Linked DNA regions of Sus scrofa. The protein of the gene in region 3 interacts with the protein of the main gene of each other region in a biochemical or structural test. Links are inferred from orthologs where the notes say so. Each region holds a gene or a part of one and is shown on either strand. Other genes may lie near its edges.

Region 1 (4,535 bases), on a different chromosome or scaffold from region 3:
CTGGGTTCCTTTCCTTTACTAATCCTCCGCCCCAAATCCGAAATCCTTAAGGAAAGAAAAAGGAAAAAGCAATGTTGAGTTTCTGTTCAATCTGCATTCACAGAAAACCACGCGACAGGCACAAGAAAGATCTAACGTAACCCAGACGGGACCAGCCATCCTTCTGACATTCTGCTGTTTCTCATCTTTGTGAGGTTGAAGGCTTTCTTTTTTCTTTCTTTATTTTGTCTTTTTAGGGCTGCACCTGCCGCATATGGAGGTTCCCAGGCTAGGGGTCGAATCAGAGCTGCAGCCGTTGGCCTACGCCACAACCACAGCCACGCCAGATCCGAGCCATGTCTGTGACCTACACCACAGCTCACAGCAACCCTGGATCCATAACCCACTGAGAGAGGCCAGGGATCGAACCTGGGTCCTCATGGATGCTAGTCAGATTCGTTTCCGCTGAGGCATGACAGGAACTCCCTTTTTCTTTTTTAAATCGAGACTAGACAAAAATTGGTCGTTAACAAAAAAATCTGTCATTAACCTCTCCTACCAAGCAGGAAGCTTGTTGAATTTGGTGCTGAGCCACAAAATAAATGGAAACAAGGAGCATCCGTATGACAAGTACTGTCCTCAAAATATACGTATATTGAGGGCAATTATATCCTCAGAGAGTAAGAAAGCTCTTTTTTTTTTCCATTTTTTTATTACTCAAATGAATTTATCACATCTGTAGTTGTATAATGATCATAACAATCAGAAAGCTCCTTTTGAAGGCAATCTCTTTACCCCAAGTTCAGAATAAGTAATTTTTCAGGGTAATCTACACACAGCAAGCCCTAGGCATGGGGTAAACCCTGAGTTTGGGAGTCCTGCACGGACTCACTAGCAGAATCTGGGCAAGATACTCAGTCTCTCCCTAAACCTCCATGGGCTTCCAGGTAAATTCAGGTTAACAAAGAAGGGACCGCTGGGTCGCGAGGCTTGAGATGGTTGCGGATGATGACAGCAGCAAAAATGTCCACAAGTGCTTACAGGGTTCGAGGCTCTAGTCCCCACCCTGTCCAAGGACACCTCCTTGAGCATCACGACAACGCACACACAACACAGCACAGCACTCCTAATGCCTCTGGGATAGGCACTCACCAAGTTCACTGTCGGGAGACAGAGGAGGAAAGGAGAAGGTCAAGTAACCAGCCCAGGCCACTTGCCCACGAGGCGCAGCCAAGGCTGTGACCCCAGGGGACTTAACCCTGGGCTTCTGACCACTGTGCTGTGCAGCCTTTCCAGAACAGTGATGCTTGAACAAAGGCTTTGCCACATTGGTTGAGTGACCCGGGGCAAGTTTGGGGACCCCTCTCTGACTGTATCCTCTGCTATGAAAAAACGATGACGCCGCCAACTGTGCTCCCTGGCAGGGTTGTTGAGAATGAGATACCTGAGACTCTTAGCCGTGTGGGCACACGCTTAGCTGTCAACATGTATCAGTGACTATTATTGGCCTGCTGTCTTCATCTTAAACTGTGTGGTCCTTAGTTTCAATCTACCCCCTCTGGTGTGGCCTTAAGTTGGGAATCACCCTGCAAAGGTGGTCAGTGAGCATTTAATCAGAAAGGCCACTCCCTGAGCACCTCTCCAGGGGAACTGACAGGTCTGGGGGGCTGCTCTCCCATCAGCTAGGAGTGTGTTAGAACACAGACCCACGTGGAGTCCACAGCCATCGTGGCCCGTGGCCCCAGGAATCTGTTTCAATAATCTCCCAGGAGGTTTTCCACATGCTAAAGTATCTGATGCTTTGACTACTGCTGTCATCAAACTGGAGTCCGAGATGAGTTTTCACTGGTGAAACTAGTGGTGTTCAAGATATGGGGTTTGACCAGAATATTCCAGACACCGCCCATCCTCGCACAGACAGGCCATGAGAACAGTGAAGCCTGCTGACAGCATGGTTAGGAAGGATTATGACACACTCCTGTGTCCTGCCCTGGGTTATATTTGTTCCTACCTGGCACAGGCCAGAGTAGCAGAGACCTGTCGGTGGAAGACCTTAGCTTCTGCCTGCATAAACTTTTAACCCAAGGTACAGCTGGGTCAGCTAAAAAAAAAGCAGAGCTAGGACTTCATTTATTTACGGTTTTGTGCCTGTCTGTCCAGGGCATGGCAGAACCAGGTCTCAGCATCTGAGAGTCACTTTTATTAGTAGGTGAGTCGCTAATAAGGCTGAAGAGCAGAAACTGGCCTCGCTCAGCACAGACTTTCTCCAGCTGTTTGCCAAAGAGAATCCATGAGATTTAAGTCTGCTGTCACATCAGCCATCAAACAGAATGGGTCCCTCCTCCAGGATTTAGGTCAAATTCCAAAGGGCTCAGAACTTCAAGTCAAACAGGTCAAATAACAGTCAATTCAAGTGTTTACCATTGCCAGGCTCTGTTCCAAGAGCTTCGTCTCATGTCACTGTCATAGTATCCATGCCATGTAGACATGACTGTCATTACCTTTTCATGAAGAAACAGTCACAGCCTGGCTAAAGCAATGGCTATTAAGTGGCCAGCTGGGATGCCAACCTAGGCAGGGGCATTCTTAACCAGGATGCATCTAGGTGTCTTCAGAACTCTGTTTTAATAAGTAATTCTGTTAGAAATAAGTAAATTAAGTAATTTATAGGTTCAAGGGAACTTGTTTTAGTACCGACTAGGTGAACAAAGTTTATTTTCAAGAGAGACGGGACAGCATTTCACACTCTAGTGAGACATTATTCTAGTTACACTCTGGACCGTAAATATTCAGAAAGGGGGCCTGACTCGTACCTTGGGGCGTCTCGTAGGTCAGCGTGGACATCTGCACCACCGGGCCGTCCTCGAAGGGCTGGTCGTACTGTAGGAGACGAAGGGGCATCTCGTGAGATAGGAGGGCCGAGAGCAACCCCTGACTCTCCTTAAGAAGGCAGCAGTGCGAGGCTGCAAAACTGGGGGCCCTGAACCCTGCCTCTTTCTCCCATCCCGTCCCCCGCCCTCCTCCTCTACCCACCCCCTAGCCCCGCCACGGCCGCACCTTCTCTATCAGCTGCTGCATGCGCCTTTGAAAGCGGCGGCGGCTGTCCCTGAGCTTCTGCAGGAGCTCGTCCTCCCCGCAGACCTCCCCCTCCATGGCGCGCCGTTACCCAGGACCCAACTCTTGCAGTAAGCCGGGCAAGGGACAGGCTCCGCGCTGCCGTTCAAATAGCTACTCCCGCCCTTCCGGCCCGCCCCTCAGGTTTCCCATTGGCTAAACTGGAAAGGTCGGGCGCTGATTGGGCCTTTCAAACACGTTCGCTCGCCTTTCTCTCGGCCAATCCGTTGTTGAGGTTCTGGCCCCGCCCCGCCCGAAGCGCGCGCGCTGGGAGGAAAGGAGGGGTGGGAGCGCGCTGCCAAGCTTTGGAAGAAGGGTGACGCGGTCTCCCCTGCGGCCGTTTGCGTGCCTGTTATTCAGCAGTGCCACACGAGTATGATGTCCCCCGTCTTGCACCGGAGATGTCCGGGTGACTTATTCTGGGACTCGCGGCAGGTGAGGGTGGCCCCTTACCACAGGTGGGGTCTGGCCCCGCCCTGAGCCAGCTTCCTCTCCCCGCCCTTCTGGGCCCCTTGCTCAGTTAAGAAAGCCGGGGCCCAGAAAGACGCTAAGGACTTGCCAATGGAAAAGAATAGAAAAAGGAGCATGAAAGTGAACACGCATTTAGAAAGGAGAAATAGCGTAAACGTCATGATTCAGGAAAATACACTGTGGTATTTTTTATTAACCTGGTGCACCTTTTCCGTACATATTGCATACTCTGCTCCATTGATATTAATTTTGTAATATTCGTAGGGATGGAGTAGGATAGTTATACTCCATAGTTAGTTGTAGAAGCCCCAATAACAGACCACACATAGAGAGGGAAATCCAGGGAAATTTGGGAAACCACTGTAAGTTAATTGCTCAAGAGGACCATCAGAAGGAAGCAGACTTGGGAATTCCCATCCTGGCGCAGCGGAAACAAATCCAACTAGGAACCATGAGGTTGCGGGTTCAATCCCTGGCCTTGCTCAGTGGGTTAAGGATCCGGTGTTGCCGTGGGCTGTGGCGTAGGTCGCAGACGTGGCTCGAATCCCACTGGCTCGGATCCCACGTGGCTGTGGCGTAGGCTTGGATTGCTGTGGCTCGGGATTGCTGTAGGCTGGTGGCTATAGATCTGATTAGACTCCTAGCCTGGGAACCTCCATATGCGGCGGATGCGGCCCTAAAAGGACAAAAGACAAAAAAAAAAAAAAAAAAAAAAAAAAAAAAAAGGAAGCAGGCTTGCTTGACTAGTGGAGGCACAAAATATGCCTCAGCTGATGGGGTGAGGCCTGCATTTAGGTTCAGGCTGGCAGCTGCAGCCCAGCCAGAGAACTTGCATATGCTGCACCTATGGCTGTAAAAAGAAAAAAAATAAAAGATTGCCTCCGTTGTAGAGAGCCCCTCCCCCGAGGTCCTGCAACCCCAGGGCAGCCCAGATCACTGAATGCTGGGCCACTTCAGTCAGTGGACAATCT
Region 2 (4,554 bases), on a different chromosome or scaffold from region 3:
GGTCTCATCTGAGCAATAACATGGCAGAAAAAGAACCTGTGACGAGTGGCTCCCCAACAACCCCAGCCTTCTCCACCTTGGGGAAATTAGGCAGACAAACTGGAGCAGGGGCAACCAAAAGTGGAGGTGTCCTTACTGACAGTATTTGTGTCACCCAGGAGCTTGTTAAGCAAATTCTTGGGCCCATCCTGACTTTTTTTTTTGCTTTTTTAGTGGCGTACCCTCGGCATATGGAGATTCCCAGGCTAGAAGTCAAATCGGAGCTACCGCTGCCAGCCTACACCACAGCCACAGCAATGCCAGATCTGAGCTACAGCTGCCAGCCTACACCACAGTTCACGGCAATGCCGGCTACTTAACCCACGGAGTGAGGCCAGGGATTGAACCCTCAACCTCATGGTTCTTAGTCGGATTTATTTTTGCTGCACCACGACAGGAACTCCTGACCTATTGATCGAGAACCTTCAAAGGTGGTTTGGAGGAAGAATGTTGCCTGTCCTGTCAGTAAACAAAGGATGTTTCAGCTATCAAGCCATCGGCCACTGCAACCAACCCAGTTGTGCTTAACTAGATAGTTAAGATGCACATCGAAGGAATGATTTCGATGGGCCCAGATTTTTGCATCTTCCCAGTCTTAGAAAAGTGCTCAATTCGTTAACTTAAGTTGTCTGGTTTTCTTCAGTCAACAGCAATTTTTTGATGTTCCAACTATCTGGGGTTGCTTTTGTTTTGCAAAGACTCCTACATACCCTGGCTCCTCCCTTGCCTCTAGGAGCAGTCCCTCACAGCTATCTGAGAGGCTGACTCCAGGGCAGAAGTCCTTAAGCAAGTCCACCAAATAAGACAAAATTTTCAACTTTTAGGTTGTGCACCCCCCCCGCACCCCGCCCAGTGTACCGGGGGAATCAGAAATCTGTGTTTTAACCAGCTTAGGTGACTCTTAGGCATGCTAAATTTGATGGGTTGTAGTACTTGGAGATGGGACACGCCATAGAAAGCAGCAGTGTAGCCAACTCCTCTATCTCTAGGTGGTGGGTGGGTTGCACATTTGCTTTCCTAACCATTGCCAAGGTCTCCGCGATGGGTCGGTAGTTTAGTCTGCCATCCCTAATTTTTTCAAAGACTCCTCCCCTCCTGTGTTAGAGGGTGAACCCTCCTCCCGAAATAGCCTACGGAGCGGGGCTCCTGCAGTCTCAATTTTCTAAGGTTGGAAAACCTGAGGCAGGAGCATGGACCGCCTGGCTCAGCCCAGCTCCTCTGCGAGCATGCGCGCTACTAGGCTGCCCGCGGTTCCTCTTCCCTTAGACCCCGCCCCTTCGTCACCGCCTCGCTCCGCCCCTTCGCCTCGCGCATGCGTAGGGGCGTTTTTCCCGTCACGCTCCGCGGCGCGGGCAGTTTGTAGCTAATGGCGGTTGCTTGGTCTCCAAATAGTTGCAAAGGATGCTCCTCTACTAGCTGTGCATGTGGCGACAAGGGCAAGTGGAGCGACTCCTTGCTGTTAGGCAAGCGGCTCTCAGAAGACTCTAGCCGCCAACAGCTGCTGCAGAAGTGGGCGAGCATGTGGAGTTCCGTGAGCGAGGACGCGTCGGTGGCCTGCACGGAAAGGACGCGGCGCGAGGAGGCTGCGAAGACCGCGGACGAGGAGGACAGGCCGCTGGTGTTTCTGTGCTCTCGCTGCCGGCGGCCTCTGGGGGACTCCCTGAGCTGGGTGACGAGCCAGGAGGACACCAACTGCATCCTGCTGCGTTGTCAGTTCGGGCCATGGGAGCTTAGGGCTTAGGGCTGCCTTCTTCCCGGGGGTACAGTACCTGCGCGGCCTCGGAGGAGGCGGGGTGGGGGTGTGTGTTTTCTGGCTGCTTGGGGTCTTTAAAAGCAGAAAAGTCTGAGAGGATGAGAAAAGGGGGAGGAGGAGAGTCACCCTTGCACTTTGGGCTCACAAGTGACAAGTCCTTTTCTGGGGTCTCCCATCATTATCGCCGTGAGCATTTCTTAGAGAAAAGTGACAACTAGGTTGTAAGCATTTGGGGCGTGGCCACTCTGTATTACTCCTCGTGGAAATTAGTGGGCTGTTCATCGGTAAATAATAGTGTTCCTGGTTTATTTAGTAAACCAAGCTTCTCAGCTACCTGCTTCTTGCAAGAGATATCAGGTTTGATTTATCAAATCTTATTTGTATCAGCGGAGACTTTACAATCAGAAGTGCTGCAGCCATACAGTTGACAGAACATAATGCTATCCAGAAAATTAAAGGAGACTTGCAATGAAAACAGCAATGATCCCATCAAAATTGGAGAGGAAGGAGGATGTAGTAAAAGTTAAGAAAGTCGCGGCTTTAGCTTTTAATACTGGCTCTACCGATTATCTGTATGTTTCTCCGTTTCCTTGTTTTGTTGTTTCCATAGTGTTTCTTTATTTTTCCATAGTGTTTCAATATTTTTTCTGAGTTGTTGTGAAAATCTCTATTCTTTTTGGACTTGTGGTTTTCAAGATGAAGTTTATATGCTCTGTTTGGATTCTGCAGATAATTTGGTGGCATACATTCACCACCAAAATTTATTAACATTTGTGGAATGTTTGCCTTCCTGGGATATATTAAGAAGAAAGTAGGGCAGCGGGTGTCCACCTGAAACTTTTTGCAACCTATAGTTTTCCTTAAGGATGCATCAGTTCATTGACAATAATTGCCGGGAGTCCCTTTCAGTTATTAAACATAAGCCTAAGGACATACATTTCCCATAGTAATTCACTAAGATTAACCCTTTGCACCTATTAAATTGTGCAGAAGGATGTAAAAGTAAAAAGAACTTATCCTCCTGACCCTGATATTCTCATGGTCCCAGAGTTCAACGTGCTTTATTCTCGTTTATACTTCCAGATACTCTTCATGCATTTATGAGCATATTTAAACATATATCTTAAAATTTTTACAGTATAGTTGATTACAGTGCCAATTTCCGCTTCTGCGGTATAGCAAAGTGACTCGGTTATACACATATATACCTTCTTTTTTATTTTCTTTTCTATTATGGTTTATCCCAGGAGATTGGATATAGTTCTCTGTTCTATACAGTAGGACCTTACCCGCTGTGTGTGTAATACTTACATCTGCTAAACCCAACATCTCTCAGTTCATCCCCCTCTTCCCCTGTCTATGAGTCTAAACATGACAGTATGAGAGGGTTTTTTTTTGTCTTTTTGTCTTTTTAGAGCTGCACCTGTGGCATATGGCTAGGGGTCAAATTGGAGCTGCAGCTGCTGGCCTGCACCACAGCTACAGCAAGACGGGATCTGAGCTGCGTCTGTAATTTACACCATAGCCAATGGCAACGCCGGCTTAACACTGAGCGAGGCCAGGGAAGGAACCTCGAGTCCTTATGGATACAAGTCGGGTTTTTTAATTTTGTGGCCACACCCATGGCATATGGAATTTCCTGGGCCAGGGATTGTTACCTACCATGCAGCTGTGGTGACACTGGATCCTTTAACCCACTGCACCAGACAGGGGATGGAACCCACACCTGCACAGTGACCTGAGTTGCTACAGTTGGATTCTTAACCCACTGTGCCATGGTGGGAGCTCCAACATGTAAATTAAAACACACACACTTGAGATTATATTCTTTTTTTTTTTCTTTTTTGTCTTTTTGCCATTTCTTGGGCGTCTCCCGTGGCATATGGAGGGTCCAAGGCTAGGGGTCTAATCAGAGCTGTAGCCACCAGCCTGCACCAGAGCCAGAGCAACACGGGATCCGAGCCTCGTCTGTGACCTACACCACAGCTCATGGTAACGCTGGATCCTTAACCCACTGAGCAAGGCCAGGGATCGAACCCGCAACCTCATGGTTCCTAGTCGCATTCATTAACCCCTGAACCACAACGGGAACTCCTGAGATTATATTCTTTATACTTGTAAGAATCCTTACTTTTTTATCCTTCACAGATATTCCGAGTGTTTTTCTATATTAGTGCATATAGATACACTTTACGTTTTTAACAGCTGATTGTTGTACCCTTGCTGAGAGGGTTTGATATAGGTGATGGCCCTCAACTGCATGGGTTTGAATCCTGACCTGCCACTTACTAGCTGTGTCTTTTGGGGCAAGCTGCTTAGCCTCTCTTTGCCTCAGTTTTCTCCTCTGAAAGATGGGGGTAATGAGGAGGATTAAGTGAGTTACGGCGTGTCATGTGCTCAGATGACATAGCTGGTGCCACTTAGTGATTTATTTGATGGAGATGCCATTCTTCCTCCCAGTCTGCCCCTCTTGATAGAGGTCTAGGCTTTTTACCGCGTTGCCACCGTTAGAACAGCTTGTATGTATTTGAGTTGAGATTTTTTTTTTTTTTTTTGGTCTTTTTTGCCATTTCTTGGGCCGCTCCCTGGGCATATGGAGGTTCCCAGGCTAGGGGTTGAATTGGAGCCGTGGCCACAGCCACAGCCACAGCAACGCAGGATCCGAGCCACATCTGCAACGTACACCACAGCTCACGGCACCGCCGGATCCTTAACCCACTGAGCAAGGCCACGGATCGAACCCACAACCTCATGGTTCCTAG
Region 3 (4,822 bases):
TTCCTGTAGCGAAAGAATATCCTTTCAGTTATTCCATGGTTTGATTATTAACATTACAATTATGAGACACCTAAAATGATAATGAGACTCTATTTTGGCCCTACTGCCATCTCTTTTGTGAGAAACAACATTTGGTTTACTATCTTCTCTGGTAAAAACATTCTGCCTTTTTTGTAAGATCTTTTAAAATTTATTTGATACAGAAGATGAGTCTACTTACCATACCATTTTGTCACTGGAAAGGCAAAAGTGACCTCTCAAGGCAGCCAGGGCAGCATGGGTAGAATACAAATGGAAACCAATGGGAATCACACAGGAACTACAGAATAAAAGGTTGTAAGTGCTGAGGGAAAAAACAGAATATGGATAAGAAAGAAAATCAGAGAACAAAGACAAAATGTCTCTGGACCCATTCCTAAAAATTAGACTGTAATAGAAATGAGAGCGAAGAAATGTCACATTCAAGAAAAGTTAACTTGTGGAGTTCCCGTCGTGTTGCAGCAGAACAAATCCAACTAGGAGCCATGAGGTTGCTGGTTCGATCCCTGGCCTCACTCAGTGGGTTAAGGATCCGGCTTGGATTTGGCGTTGCTGTGGCTGTGGTGTAGGCCAGCAGTTGCAGCTCCGATGTGACCCCTAGCCTGGGAACTTCATATGCCACAGATGCAGCCCTAAATAAATAAATAAATAAATGTATATAACTACACATGACCATATAAATTAACCACCATCAAATTGATTTCCAGTTGAAGTATGATAATAAACTTGATTAGGGCTTACTAAGCAATTTATTAATGGAACTCAAATCAGGATTTTTCTTTCAAAGATATAACAAAAAATTAATTTTAGGAGTTCCTGTTCTGACTCAGTGGTTTACAAACCCGACTATTATCCATGTGGATGCAGGTTCGATTCCTGCCCTCACTCAGTGGGTTAACGATCCCGCATTGCCATGAGCTGTGGTGTAGGTTACAGACACAGCTGGGATCCAGGTTGCTGGGATCTAGGCCAGCAGCTACAGCTCTGCTCGACCCCTAGCCTGGGTACTTCCATACGTCACAGGTGCAGCCCTAAAAATACAAAAAAAAAAAAAAAAGAATACAAGCCACATAAGTAATTTTATATTTTCTATCAGTCTTGCTTAAAAAATTTTCTGTCGGAGTTCCTGTCATGGCTCAGTGGTTAACGAATCTGACTAGGAACCATGAGGTTGAGGGTTTGATCCCTGGCCTTGCTCAGTGGGTTAAGGATCCGGCGTTGCCATGAGCTGTGGTGTAGGTTGCAGACACAGCTTGGATCCTGTGTTGCTGTGGCTCTGGCGTAGGCTAGTGGCTACAGCTTAGATTCGACCCCTAGCCTGGGAACCTCCATATGCCACGTGAGCAGCCCAAGAAATGGCAAAAAGACAAAAAAAAAAAAAAAAAAAATCTGTCAACAGGTGAAAGTTTTTTTTTTTGTTTTTTTTGTTTTGTCTTTTTAGGGCCACACCCACTGCATATGGAGGTTCCCAGGCTAGGGGTTGAATTGGAGCTGTAGCTGTCGGCCTATACCACAGCCACAGAAATGCGGGATCCGAGCCGTGTCTGCCACCTACACCACAGCTCATGGCAACACTGGATCCTTAACCCACTGAGCAAGGCCAAGGATCAAACCTGTGCCCTCATGGATCCTAGTTGGGTTGGTTAACCGCTTAACGATGGGAACTCCAAAATTATTTTTAATATATTTTATGCTACCTGTTATTCAAAAATATCATTTCAACATATAATCAATATTTTAAAATTCTTCAAAACTTTAATCACAGCATATTTCAATTCAGAATGGCCACATTTTTTTGTTTTGTTTTTTTAGGGCCATACCGGAGGCATATGAAGGGGAAGGTTCCCAGCAACATCATATCCGAGCCAAGTCTGAAACCTAGACCACAGCTCAAATCAACACTGGATTCTTAACGTACTGAGCGAGGTCAGGGATTGAACCCACAACCTCATGGTTCCTAGTCGGATTCGTTAACCACTGCGCCAGGATGGGAACTCCAGACATAACTTTCTTAAACTCACTTCCACAAGGCGCGAGGTAGATGTGGCCCTCAGACTTTAAAACCTACACACAAATACAGCTTTTCCATTTCATTGCTATATCAACCTCGTACAAGACTCAATCAGGTAAAAGGAGAATCCTTCAGATATGGATGGAAGAAACTTTTCTTCTAGCACAAGGTAGGAATAAACTGTTTTCTCCTCGTGCAAGTCGGTTCCATTCCCCCCTCGGTCTCATTAAATCTGGGAATGACTTAATGACCATCTGGAATTCTCAGTACGTACCTGCCTTTGAGCGAACCTTCAATGCCAACTAGGAAAGGAGCTTCCAAAACTACGTTATTTGTGACTCCTAGGAAAACAAACACGGGTCAGAATGACTACCTGTGAGGCAATGAAAGGGGAAACCTCTTCCTTCCAGAAAGACTCATCACAGCCACAAAAAAAAACTACGAAAAGTCGCCCCCACCCACCCCTGGCAAAGGAGTTCATTTCTTTCAAATTTTCAACTCGTTTTCTTCCCCGTGAGTTCTAAGCCCCCAATAAAAAGCCGCAACTCCCTCTCGACCCGCCTACGCCTTCCCCAGACACTGCTCCCACTCACTGGAGAAGGCCACGGCTCCAAGGGACCGCGACAAGTCCCATGCGAGGTGCACCGAGTCGGCGAGCACAGCGTAGCAATGCGCACACTGGAACACGGCGCACCTCTCGGGCTGCAGCCACCATGGCAGCCGCGGGGCCGCTGGGGGCTCCTCCGGCCCGAGCCCAGCGGGGCCAAGCGGCGAAGACCCCTTCACCACCTGCGTGTCCCACTCCATGGAAGTCGTAAGAGAAGTTTCGTCAGTCGCCTTCTTAGGGCCATCACAAAAGTCACGCCGCGACTGCCTTGGATAGCACGAGCGATGCCTCCGCGGCCGCGCCGCCATCTTCCCGCAGCCCCCGCCTCCGTTTCAAAGACGCGCCAGGCCCCGCCCCAAGCTCAGTTCCTGAGTCCTCATTGGACAACGTGTATCGGGGTTTCTGCCGCGCACTCGTTGCCTGGACACACTGTTTGGCGCCCAGGTGTTGGCGAGGGGTGGAGGAGAATGTGCGTCACTGGGAGGGGAAATAAGCCTTTCTATTGGTCAATACCGGGAGACCCTGCCTATGAGGCAGTTTTAACCAATGGAAGTGCATCATTCGTAATTTAAACTCTCTATAAAATTCGGTTTGGTTAACGCTTCGAGCCGCGCCAGAGTTTTCAACCGTGCTTTGGAGAGGGGGTTACTGATCTTCTTCGTGGTCGCCTGGATTGCAGTTCGCCATGATTGTGTCCTCCCTGGAGGAGCTGGACTCCTTCAAATACAGTGACCTGCAGAACTTGGCCAAGAATCTGGGCCTCCGGGCTAATCTCAGGGTATGGGGCCGGTGGCGGGTGGGGTAGTATGAGCGGCCTTTTCAAGACTCGATGGGGGCTGGGTGGGGGGAACCTGAAAGACTGAGGCGGCTGTCCTGGCCCTGGGGCGGTTGGTTTGGTTCACCCAAGGGTCCTAGTAACTTTGCAAAACCGAAAGGGAGCCGTAGTTTTCAGCTTATGTTGCGGCTGACTTTTTTGGAGGCTCACGAAGGCCCCGGCTCCAAAAGGGTTTGGCTTGGGTTTTTTTTTGAAGTACTCGATAGTAATTGTCAGGGCTTCAATTACAAAACGCAGGCTTAGAAAGCGAAAGGAATGCTGCTTCTAAATGCCGATTGTTAGGCAGTCGCAGAAATAATTGCCTAGGCTTCTGGAAAACTGCAAACAACGAACACTTTTTGTGTTATAACAGCGCCCCAAATCTATTTTCATGGGGAACCTGGAAGAAAGAACTTTTAGAGGACCCCTCTCATCACCTTGGAAAAGTTTTTATAACAGCTCTGATCTAGTAGGATAGTTCCTTCATTGGCCACTGCTGTGGTAGTGTTCTAGTCAAAGCCGGTAAAGTCTTTGACTCCGAGACTGCAAACCCCTTGGGGAAATGCAGGGTTTTAATTTGGGATTGAAGTTTTTTATATTCTAGAGGAGTTTTCCCACACAGTATTAATGTATACTCTGGAGATTTGTTCAGCAAGCTGTCGTATTTACACTGAATGAATGCCTAAATCAGTCCTCACAAGTGTTTCTAGGTGGTTTAAAGAAAATAATCTGTCTCTGCACCTGTTGGGGCTAAATGATAAAGGACTATCTTTGGAAATATTTCTGAGCTATTGTGTTTAATTGCTCCTCAATATTTTTATAAACAAACCTTAATTCTGTACCTTAAATCTCTAAATTATTTTTGTAATCTGGCTGGACTCTTTTACCCAAAGCACCATCCAAACTGTACTGATCCCTGAACACTTGGCACCTTTGTCCATCATCCTTTCTTTGCTAATTTTGGCCCTTTAATCTCAGATCCTTTTTTCTCTCCTTCATGTGCATGAATAATTCCCAATTACTCTCCAGTCCAACAAGAATGTTATCACTCTCTTTGAGACCCTGTAGGCTTTCCACCTTCCACTGGCAATTTTTGTAGGTATGTTCTCTCTTCTACTAAAAGTTAAGTTCTTTGAACAGTATTTCTTGTCACTACAGACCCCAGTACCTGCCTGCCATTCAGTATCTGGCACATAGTAGGTGTCAATAAATATTTGGTGAGGGATACTATTTCCCAGACAAATTTGATTTTACAAGGCATTATTATAACCAACTATAAAAAAACTTTTGAGATAATTGGAGAAAATTAAACATGGACTAGGTATTAAATTATATGATGGTATTGTTAATT
Region 4 (4,721 bases), about 45 Mb from region 3:
AATAAAATTTCACTGTGAGCATTTATGGTATACAGAAGTAAGGCTAAACAACTATTATCGTGGATATGATACTGAATATAACTTTTACATTTCTTCCTAAAAGACATGAAAAGTCTTTGGAATTTACTATTGGGGTAGTAATATTAACAATAATTATAATGGAATGAGTTACAAGTCCCAAGGCACAATGACACAAAACCATATGTATTTGCATTCTTGCATAGTTGGGAAAAAAATGATATTAAGTTAATTGGCAAATGATACACTTGGGTAAAAATACATGCAGCATATGACATAGAAAGGGCTGATACATACAATATGCAAAGAAAACAAATGAATCAGTTTAAAGAAATGATCAAGAGAAAATGGCTAAAGGAAATGAAAGGGAATTAACAGAGTACAAAAGGCTAATGAATAAGTGAAAATGAGACTTATTTTTACTAATTAATGAAGAGCTTATAAATTAAAACAGTGAAACTACTTATGCTTATCAGATTGGTAAAGATTAATTCCACAATATAGATGTGCATGCCATTGTTCAAGAAATTCCACTTTTAATTTTTTTCTTATAGAAACATCAATACAAGAATGCAAATACATGTGGTAATAATAGTCAACATTTACTGCATATATGCTAGACACTACTTAATCTTACAGCAATGCTTAAGAGTAAAGTACTGTTGTTATTCTCATTTTGAGAATTAGGAAACTAAGGCATAGAGTGATTAAATAACCAGCCCACAGTCCCACTGACAATGATTATGAGCAGGACCCCCAGCTATCCGATTTTAAAGCCCAAGTTCTTAAAGAGGCAGTATAAAAGAATGTTCACTGAAGTACTGGGCTAATTAGAAACAATCTAGATGTCTACCAAGATGGGACAAAATTCTGCTACATCCACACAACTGAATTCTACCTATTCCACTAAAAGAATATACATACACACTGACATAGAAAACAACTAGGATATACTAAGTTAAAAAAGGAAAAGGAACAGGAGGTGTAACTGAATTTCTGAAATAAATAAATAAATAAACACCTAAATAAAGGAAGAGGGAAATACATAGACATAGGGGAAAAAAAAAAAACTGGAAGTAGACCAAATTGTAAACAGAGTTTATCTTTGAGAAGTAGGATGAAGAGGGCTCCCATTTCCTAAATATTTTTTAATTTAACATTTGTAAGTATTTGCAACTAATATGTAATCAAAAGAAAACATAAGCTGGATGGATCAATTGTTTCTTTAGCTTTGTGAATCCTAGGTTCCAAGGTGAAGAATCAGGAAGTGACGGTGACGCACACAATTTTTCTACTTGGTAATTATCTGAAACTTTTTTTTTTTCTAGAAGTGATTTTAGAGTAAAGTTTAGAGCGCTCACCATCGAAACGAATCTGAACGGAAGTGGTCTACTTCCGTAATAACTACAGCAGAAACGCAACAAATCACACCTAATGAACGAGCAGTTGTGATACCACTGCCAAAGGCAAAAATGTACAAAAACAACTTGATCCCTTTGCTGTACAGTGGGAAAATTAAAAAAAAAAAAAAAAAGTCTGCGTGGGACCATTACGCTGAAGTGCTGGAAGTCACAGTGCCAGAAGGGACGGGAGAGAGGAGACGAAAGAAGCGGGGCGAAGAGGCCGTACCTTGGGTGAAGAGACCGGCACCGTAGAGACGGCGGCGGCCCGGGCTCGACTTCGCTTAGAGGGCGGGCAGGAACACCACGGCTTCTGCCTCTGGCCCAAGTCGGCCGCAGCGGCCGAGCACCAGGTGACGCTCACCACCTCCTTGAGGTTCCCTAACACCAAAACTATCTGGCAATTCAAATTTTAAGAGCCTGCCCTCCAGGCACCAGGGATTGGCGCGCTCAGGAATTGCGTCACCACGCGTCTCTCTGGGACGCAGGAAAACGTGGGGCGGTCCCCGCTCCGCGAGGGCAGTGCTCTTTCTACAAAACGTAGGCAACCCCAAGTTGCCACGGGTACCGGGCACGCACCTCTAGCTGTCCTCGAAATTAATTTCCTCTTCAGAGAAGGAGCCAACCCCGCATTCTGCCGTTCCTCCCGAAATGCTCTGCGGCAGGAAGACTACGTCAGACGTCGTCTGCGCGCTCTGGCACTTCTGTGGGTTTTTAATTTTGGTCCTTCCCGGCTACCTTCCTCCCCTACTGGCGTGAATGCTGATAGAATTTGGTTGTGCATTCCCTTCCGTCTGAAAGAAAACTGCTTGCCGAATCCGTTTAAGAGCCTTTAGTTTTCTCAGGCCGTCAGGTATTTGAGGCCGAGAAGGAGCGTTTTGTTCTTGAAACAATGGACTAAATGCAAAGTTATACTCGCAATGGGATACTTAGTTTGAGCTATTCCCCCCGGGAAATTTTCTTTTGTTTTGCTTTGTTTTTAAGAAACTTACTGAATCCTAAAGCCTTAATCTCGGCTACCCTGGTTTGCCTTACAGTTGCAGTTAGACCGAGCCGTATCAGACCACACCCAGTGATGCTGTGCCGTAGCCACGGCGGAGCACTGTGTATCCCCCGCTTCAGCGCCCCAGCAAGCCGCAGTTGCCGGCCGGAAGCATTGTGTAGTGCCCCTTGTTTCAGTCTTGGCAGAGAAAAAGGAGCCAGAGGAGTAACTAGTGTTTTCAGCCCTAAATCCCTTCTGGCTCCAATCCTGCACCTTCTTTCCATGAACTCCGCCCCCCTCCTCACCAAGTACGCATTTAGGACAGGAGAGTTTATTTTTTGCTTCATCCAAGAAAAGTTCTCAGCATCCTAGAATCATGTATCGCATCTGTCCGATAAGACTGGACTGAAATGGCTGTAATGAATTAATTTTTTAAAGAGATGGTTGCGAGCCCTTCTTCTAAAGTCTGTATCCACTAAATCCTGTATTCACCAAATATTCAGAATCCAAAATGTAAATTTAAAGCATAAAATGATTGCAAGTAAAGAAAAAAAAGAAACCAGTTGGGGGGTAGAACGAGGAAAGCAAATCTGTCAGAGCGGAAAAATCAAAGAAGAGACAGTAGGCTGGAGCTCTGAGACTTCAAGCCAGTTTTATGGACCAACAGATTGGCCAGGAGTCGGGAGAGAGCTCAGGTTCTCCGCTGCTTAGGGAGCAGTTAGTGATGTAGGAAAAGGGGTAGTTTCTATTTTCAGCACAGGTTTGTTCTTGGGCTAGGTCAGTATTCAAGGGTTAGGGGGAGGCAGTTTCCTTAGGAATGTAAGTAATGGTTTTGGGTGGGGGGTAGAGGGCAGTTGTAAAAGAACATCGTCTGATGAATGACTCTTTAACTGGTCTCCAAGGCAGCTCATTGTTCCCCAGGGGATCAGCCTTCTAGATTTTAAGTCTGATTAGAGTTTAGGTGGTGCATAGCAGGTCATGTACGATTCCCCACCTAAGAAAATCCATGTAGATAAATGAAGTTTCTATTTCTGCAGCATAATGGGAAATTGACTGGACATGGATTTGCACCAGATCTGTGGGAAAAGCCAGACTTAAAAATATGTGTTTAATGACATCTATGAAATAAACTCTGTGGGATAGAGGGGTTTTAAAGAGACAGGCATTCATATTTCAAAGCATCTGAAATGGAAATGTGAAAGTTTTCTATTCCTGATGATAGAGATAGACATGACTCACAACATTCAGTCAAAATAGGAACCTTGAAATATTAAGGGCAGGTACTCAGTTTAATTTTTTAAATTAACTGTTTCTCGTGTGAGAAGTAACTAGGATCTAGTGCGCTCCAGAGTGAACTGCAACAGGAATTTACATAAGAATGACAAATAATTTTCTAAGGAAACCTGGATAACAGCTTGTGGGTAAAAAAGTACAGAGAGAAGGCATACAGGCCAAGGGACAATGTTCATCTGTCCGTTGGACATTGATATGCTGCCTCGGATGGACCGTTTAAGTTTATATCTGCTGGGGATGGAGAGCTTCTTATATTCACAGTCAGGCAGCTGGAATAATCTGTCCTAAGTCTGTAACTCTTGGGAATGTATACAGACCCACTTAGGGTCCAAAAGACAGATATTGGAGGAGCCGATTCCTCTAATCGTTGTGTGGGAGTTGCTACCAAGGGATCTGAGTCTGCTGAGCTTGGAGGAATATTCCCAGCACCATGGTAAGTTCCAGTAGGGGCACTACTTGACCATATAGCATTTTGGGGGGAATTAGAAAAAAGATACTCTTTCATCAAGGCCAGTGGTTCTCAACCAGGGATAATTTTGCACCCCTAGAGGACATTTGGCAATGTCTGGAAATATGAATGTCAGGACTGAGAAGGATGGCCCTTGTAGCTATTGAGTAGAGGATAGAAATGCTGCTAAACATCCTATAATGCACAGGGCAGCTATTGATAATTCTTAAAGAATTATCAAGATTAAAATGTCAGTAATGCCAAAGTTGCAAGATCCTACACTTGTAACATGTAGCCCTGAATTAGGATTTTTGTCTCCTTTCACTCTGTGTTCCCAGTGTAAGGCATAACTGTGCAAATACTACTGTCCTCTCTGGGCTTAGAGGAAGGTTGAAAATGGAATCAACAGGGAGGTTTTACAGGCTTTTAAGAGGAGGATTCTTCAGTAGAAAAGACTGTCAAGAAGATTGTTGTATAATAGAGACAGTATACAAGCACATAAACATATAAACATACTATTACAAATTGTAATAAGTGCTATGAAGGTGTATTAGTTTGGCTCCTGCAGGAAGCTGATGGT

Evidence for each region. The genes of interacting proteins can lie anywhere in the genome.
Region 1: the proteins of OIP5 (region 3) and HJURP form a complex in vitro, tested with the Homo sapiens proteins (2 studies listed by BioGRID). The link is inferred for Sus scrofa from reciprocal best matches to the Homo sapiens genes OIP5 and HJURP.
Region 2: the proteins of OIP5 (region 3) and MIS18A form a complex in vitro, tested with the Homo sapiens proteins (3 studies listed by BioGRID). The link is inferred for Sus scrofa from reciprocal best matches to the Homo sapiens genes OIP5 and MIS18A.
Region 4: the proteins of OIP5 (region 3) and MIS18BP1 form a complex in vitro, tested with the Homo sapiens proteins (2 studies listed by BioGRID). The link is inferred for Sus scrofa from reciprocal best matches to the Homo sapiens genes OIP5 and MIS18BP1.

What each region holds. Positions count from the first base shown.
Region 1 is NC_010457.5:134,119,968-134,124,502, forward strand, and holds the start of HJURP (Holliday junction recognition protein), read right to left. Parts: upstream 3,197-4,535; 5' UTR 3,133-3,196; coding exon 3,037-3,132; intron 2,860-3,036; coding exon 2,793-2,859; intron 46-2,792; coding exon 1-45. UniProt on the Homo sapiens protein: Centromeric protein that plays a central role in the incorporation and maintenance of histone H3-like variant CENPA at centromeres.
Region 2 is NC_010455.5:195,925,114-195,929,667, reverse strand, and holds the start of MIS18A (protein Mis18-alpha), read left to right. Parts: upstream 1-1,358; 5' UTR 1,359-1,405; coding exon 1,406-1,748; intron 1,749-4,554. UniProt on the Homo sapiens protein: Required for recruitment of CENPA to centromeres and normal chromosome segregation during mitosis.
Region 3 is NC_010443.5:130,034,644-130,039,465, reverse strand, and holds the start of OIP5 (protein Mis18-beta), read right to left. Parts: upstream 2,989-4,822; 5' UTR 2,966-2,988; coding exon 2,644-2,965; exon of another isoform or gene 2,392-2,643; coding exon 2,325-2,391; exon of another isoform or gene 1,852-2,324; intron 344-1,851; coding exon 221-343; intron 1-220. Other genes in the region: NUSAP1 (nucleolar and spindle-associated protein 1), read left to right, coding at 3,343-3,435. UniProt on the Homo sapiens protein: Required for recruitment of CENPA to centromeres and normal chromosome segregation during mitosis.
Region 4 is NC_010443.5:175,446,201-175,450,921, forward strand, and holds the start of MIS18BP1 (mis18-binding protein 1), read right to left. Parts: upstream 3,197-4,721; 5' UTR 1,998-3,196; exon of another isoform or gene 1,648-1,997; intron 1-1,647. UniProt on the Homo sapiens protein: Required for recruitment of CENPA to centromeres and normal chromosome segregation during mitosis.